Linked DNA regions of Saccharomyces cerevisiae S288C. Changing the gene in region 2 together with the main gene of any one other region gives a genetic interaction. Each region holds a gene or a part of one and is shown on either strand. Other genes may lie near its edges.

Region 1 (5,002 bases), on a different chromosome or scaffold from region 2:
CATCAGTCTCGTGGGCAGTTCGCCGGCTCTTACCATTGGAGCTAGAACCAGTTTTCCAGCATATGTAACCATGATCTCTGTGTGACTGCGCTATTTGGTGTGGCTTGGATGGATGAAATAGCAAAAGTTTTTCAAGACGGTTTTCATTTTTTCTTCGAGCGAAGTGATGAGCAAAGTAGAGGAAATGGAAAGCGGCAAAAAATGCATTGTCGATTTTAGTAATGAATATATAAAACGACGGAAATATATATATACATGGCTGCGTAGACCACGCAGAACTGTATATGTATGTATGTATAGAGGAGGGATGGGAAATGCTGTGTGACGATAGACAGATGGATGGACGAATGGATAACTACGTCTCTAGTCTCTCATACAATGGTTTGTCAAACTTGACGGCGACCGAGTTTCTTCTGTGGTGATGTCTGTTGCAAGGACAAGACGGGTCTGAGTGGTCGTTAGGAGACGCGGATGTTTGCGGCTCCTGTTGGTCACTGATGGGGAACATCATGCTATGCTGGGCGTACGAGACGGACCTTTTCATCTCGGACGACGAGCGATTATCGAAGGAGGGCAGTTGTGGCTCACTGGCCCTTCTTTGAAAGTTTTTGTGATGCGCGCATTGGTGGAAGTCGCTTGCCGGCAATACAGAGTTGCGCCTAGAAGAGGGCAGTAGTGACGGCGAGGTTGGGTCAGAAGTCAAGCACGAGGCTGCGGTGTAGTTACTCTTGAACAATGAGGGCCGCGTAGGGTCTGCTACAACGGGAGCGGAAACATTAAGTACAGTCTCGACGATTTCATTGTCAGTTGATAAAGCAGGCGGTAAGCCGACGGAGCTGCCTCTGGGGGAGCAGGCTTTAGATGTAGCAGAGGAGCAGGAGCTGCTGCTGCTGCTCCTGCTGCTGCTTCTGTCCGCGATCGACTTGTAGTGGAAGGTGATGTGAGCGGAAACAGGGATGTTCACGGCACAAGGCTTGATATCCGTGGACGACATGGAACGTTTATTAGTTATATTTTTCGAGAAAAAATCTGAAACTTGCAGATCATTAGTTTACGCTTCGGATGTACACACACATACCTATATACATATATACATACACATATATATACATTTGTGTGCTCGTATGCGTACTGTTTTGCACTGGGCTGATTCGAGAAAGTCAAAAAGCTTAACTGGCCAGAAAAAGAAATTAAAACGGCACCGAGGGGTCGAAACCTTCCGTTTCTGCGAAGGCCCTTTGTTCTTTTGCTTTTGATCCGAAATGAGGGGCGGCGAGAGGTAAGGGGTAGAGGGGCTGGAACTCTCGCTGATGTTCTGAGCGAGGTGTTCAGGTGGGCCTATCCGCCTTAATCACTCCGGCGTGGGGAAAGAAAGCAGAGAGCGAGCAGAGAGCGAGCAGAGAGTGGGTGATGTCAGAGAACGATAATCCTGATGGGGGGTGGAACTTTATTACCCTACTTGAATTTTTTTATTTTGGTAGGGTAACTTTTATTCCCTTGAAAAAAATACTTCTGGTTACCCGGATCCGTTTTTTTTCGGGGATCCACGTGATGGCTTTTTGATCAGGACTAATTTTAAAACTGAAAAAAAAAAAAAAAAATTGAGTATGTCTTGCATGTATGAAAATTGATAAGTAACTAGGAAAAATGCCGCTCAAAATCTTAGTAAAAATAACTTCTTTTCTTTTTTTACTTAGTCAAATAAAAAGAAAACTGTGAAGGTGACACGGTAACTTGCAGACTGACATGAAGTTCTCGCATTCCTTACAATTCAATTCTGTACCAGAATGGTCTACCAAGTATCTGGCCTATTCGCAGCTGAAAAAATTGATCTATTCTTTGCAAAAAGATAAGCTGTACAGTAACAATAAGCACCATGTTGTGGAGCCACATGACGCCAACGATGAAAATCTGCCGCTATTGGCAGATGCTTCTCCAGATGATCAATTCTACATCTCTAAATTTGTTGCTGCCTTAAACCAAGAATTGAAAAAAATTGATAAATTCTACATATCTCAAGAAACAGGTCTTATCGCCAACTACAACGAATTGAAGGACGATGTCATGGAACTGGAAAACACGAACAAGGCCACCCAATTGTTTAATCAGCAGCAACAGCATCAACTGCAAAGTGTTGCAAGAAACAGGAAGTCTAAGTCACAACAACGCCAAAGAAGGTTTAGTAGTGTCTCCTCCACGGACTCCAACCCCTCTCTGACAGACATGTCGATTGACTCTGCACCCGTCATCCACACGCAGGTCTCGAACACGACTAATAATGGTAACTCAATGCAAAACCTGGCCTCCGCTTCAGTGTCGCTTTCTAACTCTAACCCTGTGTATCTTTCTCCTTTTACCCAACATAGGCTCTCTTTAAAGAAAAGATTGATATCGATCTACACCCAGTTGTCCGAGTTGAAGGACTTTATTGAGTTGAACCAGACCGGGTTCTCCAAGATCTGCAAGAAATTTGACAAGTCCTTAAATACGAACTTGAAGCAGAACTACTTGAACTATATCAAATTCCATTCGCATGTTTTCAATCCTGCTACAATAAATAGGATTCAGCATCACATTACCGAGACCATCCTCACTTACGCTAGCTTGAACAAGGGCACGCGTCGACCATCTAATACGTTTAACTTGGACGCTGACCGAATCAACAATGACGAAAACAGCAGCGGTAATGAAGAAGACGAAGATGGCAACAGACAAGAAGTCCTCGATTTCCAGGATGCTGAGCGTGAATTATCCTCTCATTTGAGAGATCACGTAGTTTGGGAAAGAAACACCGTTTGGAAAGATATGATGAATTTGGAGAGAAAGTACCAATCTGCCAAGACTGACAACAAGAAGTTTTCAAAGTTGAGTTCCAGTCAATTGCGCCCCAATGCCAACATTACTGAATCCATGGCAATGTCGAGTGGTGGCGCCGGTATCATCGCTCCATCAACGGATTCCCTAACTTTCCGTGAACTCATGCATTTACCACCCAAGCAATGGTTGCAATTTATCATGGGCCAAACTTCCCTGCTGAAGTTTCTGTTAATCACCTCATGTTTCATTGCATTATTAACTTTTAATTTGACTCCTTTTACGCAGGATTCCTTACAGAAAAACTGTTTCGCCATCTTAATATATGCATCTTTATTATGGGCCACTGAGACCATCCCCCTTTTCGTGACTTCTCTAATGATTCCTCTGCTTATTGTAGTGTTCCCTGTTATCAAGGACCCTATCACCTCCCAACCAATGTCTCCCCGTGATTCCTCTCAGTTCATCTTATCAACGATGTGGTCGAGTGTCATCATGCTTTTGCTGGGTGGGTTTACTTTAGCAGCCGCCCTTTCCAAGTACAACATTGCCAAAGTCCTTTCTACGCATATTTTGGCATCCGCCGGTACAAACCCACATTTTATTCTTTTAACAAATATGTTTGTGGCGCTCTTTGTTTCCATGTGGGTTTCTAATGTTGCTGCCCCCGTTCTTTGCTATTCAATTGTTCAACCTTTGCTCAGAACACTGCCAAGAAATTGTTCCTATGCCAAAGCTCTAATTCTTGGTATCGCTCTTGCCTCCAATATCGGTGGTATGTCTTCTCCCATCGCTTCTCCTCAAAACATTTTTTCTATTGGTATAATGGACCCTTCACCATCTTGGGCTGAATGGTTTATGATTGCGCTACCTGTGTGCTTTATTTGTGTCATGGCAATTTGGGTGCTATTGATCATAACCTTCCCTCCTGAGCCAAATGTGAAAATTTTGCAATTGCATCCATCCCGTGATCCATTCACTCTGAAGCAATGGTTTGTCACTTTAGTTTGCATTATAACAATTGTTCTTTGGTGTCTTTCAAACCAAATCTCCGGTATCTTTGGTGAAATGGGAATCATATCTATTATACCTATAGTAGTCTTCTTCGGTACAGGTCTTCTAACTTCGGATGATTTCAATAATTTCATGTGGACAATCGTTGTTTTGGCCATGGGAGGTACCACCCTAGGTAAGGCGGTAAGCTCATCCGGTTTATTGTCTACAATGGCACAGTTAATTAAGGCGCAGGTTGAGCATGAACCAATCTTCATTATTGTGTTGATCTTCGGTCTAGTGATTCTTGTAATGGCCACTTTTGTCTCCCATACCGTCGCGGCAATGATCATCGTACCATTAATGAGTGAGATCGGTTCCAATCTACCTTCAGGTGATCATTCTAGACTATTGATCGTTATAGCCGCCCTATTATGCTCTAGTGCTATGGGTCTTCCAACCTCTGGTTTCCCCAACGTGACTGCCATTTCAATGATTGATGAAGTTGGTGATAGATATTTGACCGTGGGTACATTTATTACGAGAGGTGTACCAGCCAGTTTGTTAAGTTATGCCGCTATTGTTACAGTAGGTTATGGCATATTGAAAGTAATGGGATTTTAAGATTATCCATAGAGAGAATGAAAGGTTACTAATATAGTATGTATACGTGCACTATTATTTAATTTTACTTTATATTGCCTCTAATTATTCTCAATCACAACCAAAATACTTTGAATCAAAAAATCTGGTCAATGCCCATTTGTATTGATGATTTTGTAACTTTTCTCTGGAGATGATCATACCAGCAAAAATGTTGACTTTGTTATCAAATGCATTTAATATACGTCGGATACCAACTTCAGTGGCCAAATAAACCACCACGCTAATCTTTTCCAAATCAATACCATGATCTAAAAGCACCTGGATGGCCATGATCATGGCCGCACCACTTATGATTTGACCTTCCATTAAGAAAACCTTGCCAAACTTTTCTATATTTGGGGGTAAAAATTCGCAATGCAGTTGAGGTTCCCCAGTTTGTGAATCGGACTGAATCAACAATTTACCAATTGTGATATTGGGGATCGTCTTTCTCAAAGACTTCATAAAACAATCGCCAGATCGAATAATATTAACAGCTGTAACTTGATCGAATTGACAGGCAATAACGTTTTCCATGGTATGCTCACCA
Region 2 (2,901 bases):
TCACTAGATTAAAAAACACTCTCGAGCTACCCTATGAAGACAAGATTCATCCATAAACTCCCTAAGTGGGTATCCATTAGATGCCAACTACTTCACTCATGCAATACATACAGCAATTGCAAGACTTGTGATTTTAATCCAAAAGAAACTTCCCTGGGTGTCATGAACCCAATCAATGGCCGTAACTCTTCGTATGGTCAGTTTATAACTCTCAATCACGTTTCCTCGCTCATACCCTAACAGGTACGACTCCTCTGATCATATAGAGGGATTTTAATGTTTCTGATTTGGGAAACATTCAATTTTTCTCCTGACAACCGTTTAGTGTCAAACATTGGATATTGCCCTCGTTCAGAGGGCACAGAATAAAATTTGATTTCTGGTTCATTTTCTTGGCCAAAGATTAATTGAAGTTGTCAAGGCATGCCAAAACTTCCTTTAAAGGTATCATCCCTGTACCGAACATTCCTGTGCTCCTGTATATATCATAATAAGATATAGGTAGTACAAAGGCGCGGATCCGTATACGAGATCTATAAAAAAAGCATTGTTGAAGAAAGGGCAACTGCATATTTGTAGTGGTGAAGAGTATGGGATAGGGGAGCCCAAGTAAGAGAAATATCAGCAGTGAAATAGCTATTCAACAATTTATCTGTTCGTCCGTCGCTTATTAAAAAACGGCATATAAATAGAGCAGCTTTGATTAACTCTTTCCGACAATTTGGCATTGTTATTTACATTCGAGTGAGCTCACATCTTCACTAAAAAGATCTACAAAAGTTCAATCGAAAAAAATGGTCAAACTAACTTCAATTGTTGCTGGTGTCGCTGCTATTGCTGCTGGTGTCGCTGCTGCCCCAGCCACCACTACTTTATCTCCCTCTGACGAAAGAGTTAACCTGGTCGAATTAGGTGTCTACGTCTCAGATATCAGAGCTCATTTGGCTGAATACTATATGTTCCAAGCTGCTCATCCAACTGAAACTTACCCAGTTGAAATTGCTGAAGCTGTTTTCAACTACGGTGATTTCACCACTATGTTGACTGGTATTCCCGCTGATCAAGTCACTAGAGTCATCACTGGTGTCCCATGGTACTCCACCAGATTGAGACCAGCTATCTCCAGCGCTCTATCCAAGGACGGTATCTACACTGCTGTTCCAAACTAAGCCGATGGCCTCACAATTGGTATTTAGCACTGGATTGCTTTACGAACGGATAAAAATAATTATGATTTGACGGTAAGAAATAATTAGATATACATACGTATACAAACATATATATGTATTACAGGTACTTTTAATCAGTTGCACTGTGTTCAAAAAGATATTTTTTAAATGCGGGGGGAGATTCAAGTTTTGTTCTCGCATTTAAATTTCTGCATACAATTTGTACTTACAAGAACCTTATACGATTCCAGTTGAGACACGTACTGATATATTAATGATCATATTAAGAATCTTAATGCTTAAAACTTCTCTTCAATTCAGCATTTGATCTGTGGCAAGTTAATCTTGTTCCATTTAACGTGGATTTGACTTGCCATGATCTTCCCATAAAGCGGTAAATAGCCTTTTTGGTAAAAAATTGAAAGTTTAAAAGTACGGAACAAACTTTCGAGTTTTTCCTCAAAGGCCCTTCACAACACACGAGAACTAAAAGGTAGTTAAGACAGGAACTTGCCGTTAAAGTTTACTTTCTCCTTCAAAGTATAGGAAATAATGAAAGAGGCAGAACTTAGTGCGACAGAAAGCCAAGATGAGATCCCAAAGTCTAATTCCTTATTAATTATAGAAAAATTAACAAAGGCCGTTTGTAGCCTTTATTTTATAAATTGTTTTATGGTGCCATCAGTAGATAATTTGATTGAAAAGTACCCAAAAGCAATCATCATTAAGATCATAGATATGATTCTGGGGGCGGTAACAATTTCCCTCGTTATTATAGTTTTCTTTTTATATCGAAAGAACGGTCATTTTAAAAATGAAAATAAAACAAAGCCAAAGAGATGTTCGAAGGTAGTATGTCCCAGCTGTGCTGCCAGAAAAAAGTATCCTAAATGGTTTCAGCTAAAGTATTTGTTATTGGTATCAATGACTGCTTTCAGCTTCTACTTTTGTACCAAAATTAGGTTTTTTTTTAAAACTGACCAAACTATTAATTTACACCGACTATCACAGCTATTTAGATTGCAGCTAGGCTGGATATGTACTACTGCATTATTATTCTATTTTTACGATGCGTTGATATTACATAGCGGGTTCATTGAAGGGTATAGATGTGTCAATGGAAAGGGAGCGATGTCTGAAGGTAAAACCGGGCAATTAAATTGAGGATTTTACCTAATATGTATTATTTTGGAATTAGCTTGAAATGTGAAGGTATCATTTTACTGTTGCATATTGGATAATTGGTAAAGTTACGCAAAGTATTCAATATCATCTTCTTGCATTACTCGACCATTGAGAATAATTTACTATATAGTTTGAATACGAGATTACACCTCGACAAAAGTAGTTCTATTATTTGCACGTAACAATTATCAGAAAATGGGTGAACTTCGTATTAATTGTTGGGATTTCGTTGTTGATATTAGGTATACAAAATATACTAGAAGTTCTCCTCAACAGTCTTGGAATTCACGAAAGGGAGTTGATAGTTCTGATAATAAAATCACTTTGTCTTCCTTTCTTTTATACTTTGTCATTCATTATTCTACTACATTATCAATTTGTTAGAATGAAACTCTAAAACATCATCTGTTTAGTAGTATTTGCGTTACTAGTCAATTATGATCGTTGACTCTTATTCTAACAGCTAGTAATATTACCCCCGTTACGTATGAAAGTGTTGGAATAAAAATCCACTATCGTCTATCAACTAATAGTTATATTATCAATA
Region 3 (3,530 bases), on a different chromosome or scaffold from region 2:
TGGCTCTTTTCGGGGTTCTCAATCAGTGAAATCTCGTGTCACTAATATCACATTTTTATTAAATGAATTGAAAACTTTTTCAGATGACGCGAATAAAATCAAAGATCCTGATGAGGAGAATATTGTTGGCTTGGATAAAATCGACGTTGCTAGATCAAATTCTCTGCGACTTGCACCAATATCTAGTCTTTCTGATCGCAGTAGCATTGGAAATAGAAAATCCTTTTTGCAAAAAACAGCAACTGGTGAAAATCAAAACGATGACTTTAAAGACGCAAATGAAGATTTACATTCTTTAAGTTCAAGAGGTAAAATTTTCTCCTCCACTTGAGAAATTAAGTTTTTGACGGACAGCTGTGGATGCTTTCAAGGGCAAGAGTGATATAGCATGACTTTCTAATTAATGTAATTTACGTAGATATAGATCAAATGGCGAAGTAAAAACTTCGAAAAAGATGGAAGAAGTCCTGTTTGCCTCAACTGGAGAAAGGAAATACGTAGCTGCAAACTGCTTATCACATATCGTCATCACCAGAATCTTCGTCTTCATACCACCCAGATTCGTACGCTGAGGCGTAATCGGAAAGTTCATTTTTCAATTCTTCTCTGTCACTATCATTTTTGAAGTACCTTACCACAAACTCATTCCAATGTTTGAATATATCTCGATTTTTTTCAGATGATTCTAATTCCAAAACAAATTCACGATCATTGGAAAATTCTGTCGGTATCGTATCAGATGGAAAATACCTGTGTGTATACATTTCAATCATCTTACTCCGTGAATCAGGTTCGGAATGATGTTTATGCGTTTGATTTCCTCTATCAATGAAACTTTTTGAAAATATGTGAGTAGAATTTGGTTTGTGGCTATTCTTGAAAGGAAGTACTCGAGAACAGAATGAGTAATCGGTGTCACCGATAACCATGCCAGTGACCATATTTCGCGACGAATATCCTAAGGTAATGGCAGTTGTTAGATAATCCATTGTCTTTCTTTGTTCAAGATTGCTTTGGGAAATTGTCGCATTTATAGAATCAAATATCCTACAGCTCTTTCCAGCAGTTTCCCAATTAGTTAGTCCAGGAGCAGCATACAATGGGAAGTAAAGATCGGATTCTTGCATCATATTTATTGTGCTTCTTAATTTGTTCGAAATGATCGGGAGCCATTTCTTTGAAAGTCTTTTCATAGGGAAGTCATCTGTGAATGGATCATCTTCATTGTGTCCCCATGAAAAGACCGCCTTTTTAGGTAATTCATTCCTTAATTCCACCAGTAGAGCACTAGAAAACCCGCCCCATCCACTCTCCATATCACTTACAAGATTGAAGCCTTGCAGGGTGTCACATTTTTCCAATTCTCTATGCAAATTTCCATCAAAAAACTCTTGCAAGTAATTTTCGGTAAATTCGTCATAACCAATGGAATACCTGTCAAACTTTCGCTCCCCCAAGTTTTGAAAGTCAGGTTGGTTTGGATTTTCAGTGTCATGGTACCAATTTCTCAAAATATTGAAACTTGAAGGACCATAGATAAGTTTAGAATAGTCAGACCAATACATCGTATTTTCTCTGTTCAAACAAGGCAGCGGTGCTCCTGCATCTAGAGAACTCTGATATTCGGATTTAGGTATTCTTGGATGAGTCTTTATAACTGTTTGCTCCTTGAATTTGTCTTCATTGCCGAAATGATAGTCTTGGCTTTCTGAATATTGATATGTTCCTAGTGAACCATTACCTGTACGGGCATCCCAAAGTAAGGCACGTGGTGCATATGAAATTGTTTTTGAAACTTTATCTACAACCGAATTCAGAAAAATTTTGGAGTCATTGACTTGTTGTTCTTTAGACAATTGTAAATAGCCCTCTTGTATATTGAAGAATTGAGTAGTCAAATGGTTTGCTCTCTGCGAAACCGATATCGTTACTACTTCATGCATTTTTTATTCTTGTCTGCCAATTATATATGTAATTTTAACAATTAACCCTCTTCTTCCAAGGTTTTAATTCATCGCATCGATTATATTTTGTTCCATTCGAAATTTTCCATTTTAAGTTTGGCGAAGCTTTTCACGTTTTCATTCAGAAATAATGATGTCGAACATCAAAAAAAAAAATTATCAGGTTACACATCTAAAAAGTTGACTTATTTACAAACTAATTCGCGCGAAAGGTTGTGGCTATGGGTTCGCAATTAGGATCTGGGAGTTGAACATTTTCCAAGTCAGGTTTTAAGCCCTTTACAGTAATTTCGTCGTGAAATATTTTCAAAAATCTGCATAAGGGTTCTGCGTACCACCTTCTGCCGGATCTGTCTTTGAACCATCCAACATGCCCCCCCGTCGAAGTTTCTAGAAGCAAAGTGTATGGATTGGATTTTATTTGGTCTATAGGAAGATCACCTCCGACAATTGGGTCATCCTGAGCATGCAAAGCTATAAAAGGAGTTCTGATCCCGGGTATTCTTTTATATGATGAAGCATTCTTGTAATACTCCTCTGCATTTTTATATCCAAACATTGGGCCTGTCAACAAGTTATCAAATTGCCTCACAGTGCGAATCTTTTTTAAATGCTTCTCGATAACATCTTTGAAATCAGGGTTTTCTTCCAGAGTAGAGAGATGGTTTCGAACCATGCGTAGTAAGTTGTGACCCAAAGCAGGTGAATAAAATCGTGACCCCATTGGTGTACTGTTAATAAAATATGCAGAGTTGTACAGGTCAAATGGATTACTCACGGAAATAGCACATTCGATTTTAGTACGATCTGACTCTTCTCCCAAGTAATTTGTCATTATAGATGCGCCTAACGAAAATCCCATCATATAAAACTTTCTATTCGGAAATCTTTTCCTCAAGTCATTAACACAATATCTTATATCATTGGTCCAACCACCGTTGTATAATAGCGGCGTTGTAATTGCAGAATAACAACATCCTCTAGCATTAAACACGCATGCTTCAAAGTCATACTTCGTGGTGATTTCATGAACAATTGCCCTCACGTAGCTTTCCCTCGAACCCCCTGTTAATCCATGGAGAATAATAAGCATAGGCTTAGCATCGTCTGAGTTCAATTTAGGATCATCAGGGGAATAGTACGAATATCTTCGTTTCAAGTTTCCGTTAAATACCGGTTGACTTGTCGGCACGTATTCTTTTTCCACTTTTCTTCTTTTGGTACTTCTACCATTTACAGCAAAATCCACAGTCCCTTCTCCCCCATGTGGGTATTTGATTATCATTCTTTTATATTGAACTTTGTATATATTGTCAAAGTGTCTAAAGGAACCATATGCAGTTTGTAAATGGCCATTGACCAGTAAACCATATAAAGTGTCAGTAGCACCGTCAGCTAATTCAGGAACTTTAGTATCTATTAGCTCAGGGATGGTGATCTCTTTATTTTCATTCTCTCGTTTATCGGTGGACTTGAATGCAATAGGATCCTCAGGGACCTCTTGATGAACAATCAAAAAATTAGGTAACAATTCTTTTAGACGCATATCGTCTCTGGAAGTTTACC
Region 4 (3,304 bases), on a different chromosome or scaffold from region 2:
ACAACTGGGACGTTATGCTCCTTTAAAATAGAGGCGGCCTCTTCTAAGTGAGGGCGTAAGATCTGAGAATGCAAACACCATGGAGCAAAAAACTCGACGAGGACTAACGGATGAGATTCGATGAATGATTTAAATTTCTTCTCTGTTAGAACGAGTAAATCTGATCCCGGCGTAGCTCTTGCGCTGTTTTCAGCCAACGTGAAAGAAGCAAACAGGCAAAACGAGACTATCGCAGATATAAATCTTGTGGTCACTTGCATGGTATTATATGAGCGGGTGCTTGTTGGGAGATTGCCATATAATTGAAACGTCAAGTCTTGGAAATTGAAACTTTCTGAATGCTAAAATATCTATTGTCTTAACAAAAAAGGACACGCGTGCCTTTGAAAAAAAGTCTCGGTACTTTTCGTACATTGCCAACTATCGTTTACGTGTTTTGAAGGGAAAGCAAGCTTATATATATATATTTAATTTTGCTATGAAACAAAACCAAAAGACTAACCAGGAAAGTTAATCAGAGGATGACTGTTTTTGTGGTGGTGGGGCGAGGATGTCAGATTCTGCTGACTTCGCAGCGGTAGATGACTTATCTCTGCCTTCATTAAAATAGTCATCCATTGCCAATGGCTGGGTACCCTTTTTATTTTTTGATTTCTTCTTTGTTGGCACCGGTGGTGCTGTGAATGCTGATGGCACAAAAGCCGTCTCAGATTCTACTGGAACAGGAACAGGAACAGGGTTGTCATCTTGCCCCTGCTGCTGTGCTTGTTGTGGACAGTGCTTTACTGTTGGAATCCTGTGAAGAAACCCGTATCCAACGTTGCAACCCAACCTGCCGTCGGGACCTATATGAACTGTGATTGGTCTCACACAGTCAGAAACTTTGTTGTAGACATAAAGGACCAGATCGTAGTTTGCTCTTGATCTAACAATATCTTGTAAAAGCGTCTCCCCTCCCGTGGCCAACAGGCCATCTTGGCAGCCGATAATGTAGTCTTCATCTGGGATGAGCCCTGCCGATTGGGCGGGTCCATCTGGGATGTTCACGTTCAGGATATGGTATGTGAAAGTGGAAGCTATCAAAGGCGTCCATTGGACTTTGAACCCGAGTGCTTGGAACTGGTGCGCTTCCCCACTAGATGGCCTCCTCTCGTCATGGTTTAGAGAAACATCGTCCAAATCGTCGCTCTCCTTCGATATAATGCTGATATACTCGTCTCTGAACGTGCCTCCTTTAGCTGACCATATGTTGACCTTCAAAGTTCGGCCACAGTGTTCATTGAAGATGGATGTGATACGACGGTAATCTGGGTACGAAAATCCGTGTTGATTACTGACCACCGGCACCGGATCATCATTGAAACCTACTATATAGTCGAAAAAGGACTGCAGTTGGAACTGCATCTCGTCCACCCAAACAATGCGGAGACCGGAAAGCGTTTCATTGACGTTGGTGTGCTTAACACCTTCAGAAACCGCATCTACGGGTGATTCCAACTGAGCAGACAACAAATTTGGTGGTATAGACTGAAAGAAAGCGTCCAGATTGCTCGAGTCCTGCGAGAGTGCCAGGGTATCTTGCACGCTCTGCTCAAAAGTCCGTACGAGGTTTTTAGCTATTCTAAACATAGTTCTTCTTCCTATACCTTTTTACTTCCCTAGTTTCGCACGCTGTGTCGGTCGCAGTTACAGTAGTAGTCTCAGCACCCCTGTTCTTGGTCCTGATCCCGTTGCGACAAGCCCATTTCTTTTATGATAGCCAAAATGCAACTAAACCTCGTCGTCGTCGGCTTGCGTGTCCGCCGCGAAGACAGAAAAATAACGAAACGAACTTAATAGAAACGACCTAGATTTTATTTGGAAGCCAGCCCGATGCTATCTTCAAAATGGCTGTCACTGGGTGCAAAGGCGGTGGGAGAGCCCATTAAGTAATTTAATCGGGTTGTCTCACCAATGTTAGCCACAACGCAACGCTACGTCGCCACTCTGGCAGCCACCGCAACGAGCAGTAGCAACTACTTTCGGGTGGGCCCTTCAGGGGTAGTTGCCTGCGTCTTTGTTCGAAGAATCAAGTGACAAAAAACGCGGGGCATCCAGAAAGTCTTTTTGTGTGTGTCGTCGAAAGGGAAAGTGAGAGAGTGAGAGTGAATTAGTGTTTGTGTGTGTGGAAGACAGAGGAAGAAGATCGGGTCGTCGAATTCTATTATGCTTGCGATGCAGGGGGGGGAAACATGTATTCGGGATTATATAAAGTCGATTCTGTGTAAGTGTAAAATCTCATCTTGTCTCGTGTTCTTTTGTACGTCTCATACTTATAGGAAGTTTAAATAGAAACAGATATCAGTGTATCAAGGAAGAATTGTACAAGAATCGAATCATAGATACACAGTAATGTCATTTGAAAATTTACATAAAGTCAATGCTGAGGCATTGGAAGATGCAGTGGTTGAGATCTGCTCCTCATTGCAGGTTGATGCAGCAAAGTTGGACGAACTAACAGCGTACTTCATTGAATGTATGGAAAAGGGGTTGAATAACACCTCTGTAGGCGAAGAAAAGACGGTGGACAAGGGTCTACCCATGATCCCTACATATGTAACCAGTTTGCCCAATGGGACGGAACGTGGTGTTTTGCTGGCTGCAGATTTAGGTGGGACTCACTTCAGAGTGTGTTCTGTGACTTTGAATGGTGACGGAACCTTTGATATGCAGCAATTGAAGTCTAAGATTCCGGAAGAATATCTAAATGACAAGGATGTCACCAGCGAGGAGCTGTTTAGCTACCTGGGTCGCCGTACAAGGGCCTTCGTTAGGAAGCATCATCCTGAGTTGTTGAAGTCCACGGGGGAGAACATAAAACCTTTGAAAATGGGATTTACCTTCTCATATCCCGTTGACCAAACCTCTTTGAGTTCCGGTACTTTAATCAGATGGACCAAAAGCTTCAAGATTGAAGACACGGTCGGCAAGGATGTCGTGAGGTTATACCAGGAGCAATTAGACATTCAGGGGCTCTCTATGATTAATGTGGTAGCTTTGACCAACGACACGGTTGGCACTTTCCTATCCCACTGCTACACTTCAGGCTCTCGTCCATCGAGTGCTGGTGAGATTAGCGAGCCTGTCATTGGTTGTATCTTTGGTACTGGTACTAACGGTTGCTATATGGAGGATATTGAAAACATCAAGAAGCTACCAGATGAGCTCAGAACAAGACTGCTGCATGAAGGAAAAACCCAAATGTGCATCAACATCGAATGGGGTTCTTTCGACAATGAATTGAAACATTTGTCTGCTACAAAGT

Evidence for each region.
Region 1: mutations in YLR036C (region 2) and PHO91 together harm fitness more than expected from each alone (negative genetic interaction), as found in Saccharomyces cerevisiae (one large-scale study listed by BioGRID).
Region 3: mutations in YLR036C (region 2) and DML1 together harm fitness more than expected from each alone (negative genetic interaction), as found in Saccharomyces cerevisiae (one large-scale study listed by BioGRID).
Region 4: mutations in YLR036C (region 2) and GRH1 together harm fitness more than expected from each alone (negative genetic interaction), as found in Saccharomyces cerevisiae (one large-scale study listed by BioGRID).

Annotation. Positions count from the first base shown.
Region 1 is NC_001146.8:648,457-653,458, reverse strand, and holds PHO91 (Pho91p), read left to right. Parts: upstream 1-1,746; coding exon 1,747-4,431; downstream 4,432-5,002. Other genes in the region: SMM1 (tRNA-dihydrouridine(20) synthase (NAD(+))), read right to left, coding at 1-72; YNR014W (uncharacterized protein), read right to left, coding at 356-994; uridine kinase URK1, read right to left, coding at 4,522-5,002. UniProt on the Saccharomyces cerevisiae protein: Vacuolar phosphate transporter that probably exports phosphate from the vacuolar lumen to the cytosol.
Region 2 is NC_001144.5:220,953-223,853, reverse strand, and holds YLR036C (uncharacterized protein), read left to right. Parts: upstream 1-1,721; coding exon 1,722-2,333; downstream 2,334-2,901. Other genes in the region: seripauperin PAU23, read left to right, coding at 795-1,169.
Region 3 is NC_001145.3:687,496-691,025, reverse strand, and holds DML1 (Dml1p), read right to left. Parts: upstream 1,944-3,530; coding exon 516-1,943; downstream 1-515. Other genes in the region: EFR3 (Efr3p), read left to right, coding at 1-331; MGL2 (putative carboxylic ester hydrolase), read right to left, coding at 2,161-3,510.
Region 4 is NC_001136.10:1,475,564-1,478,867, reverse strand, and holds GRH1 (Grh1p), read right to left. Parts: upstream 1,630-3,304; coding exon 511-1,629; downstream 1-510. Other genes in the region: protein disulfide isomerase EUG1, read right to left, coding at 1-260; EMI2 (putative glucokinase), read left to right, coding at 2,392-3,304. UniProt on the Saccharomyces cerevisiae protein: Involved in the spindle assembly checkpoint. Involved in ER to Golgi vesicle-mediated transport by either facilitating USO1-dependent and -independent tethering or increasing target accuracy of fusion events of COPII-coated vesicles.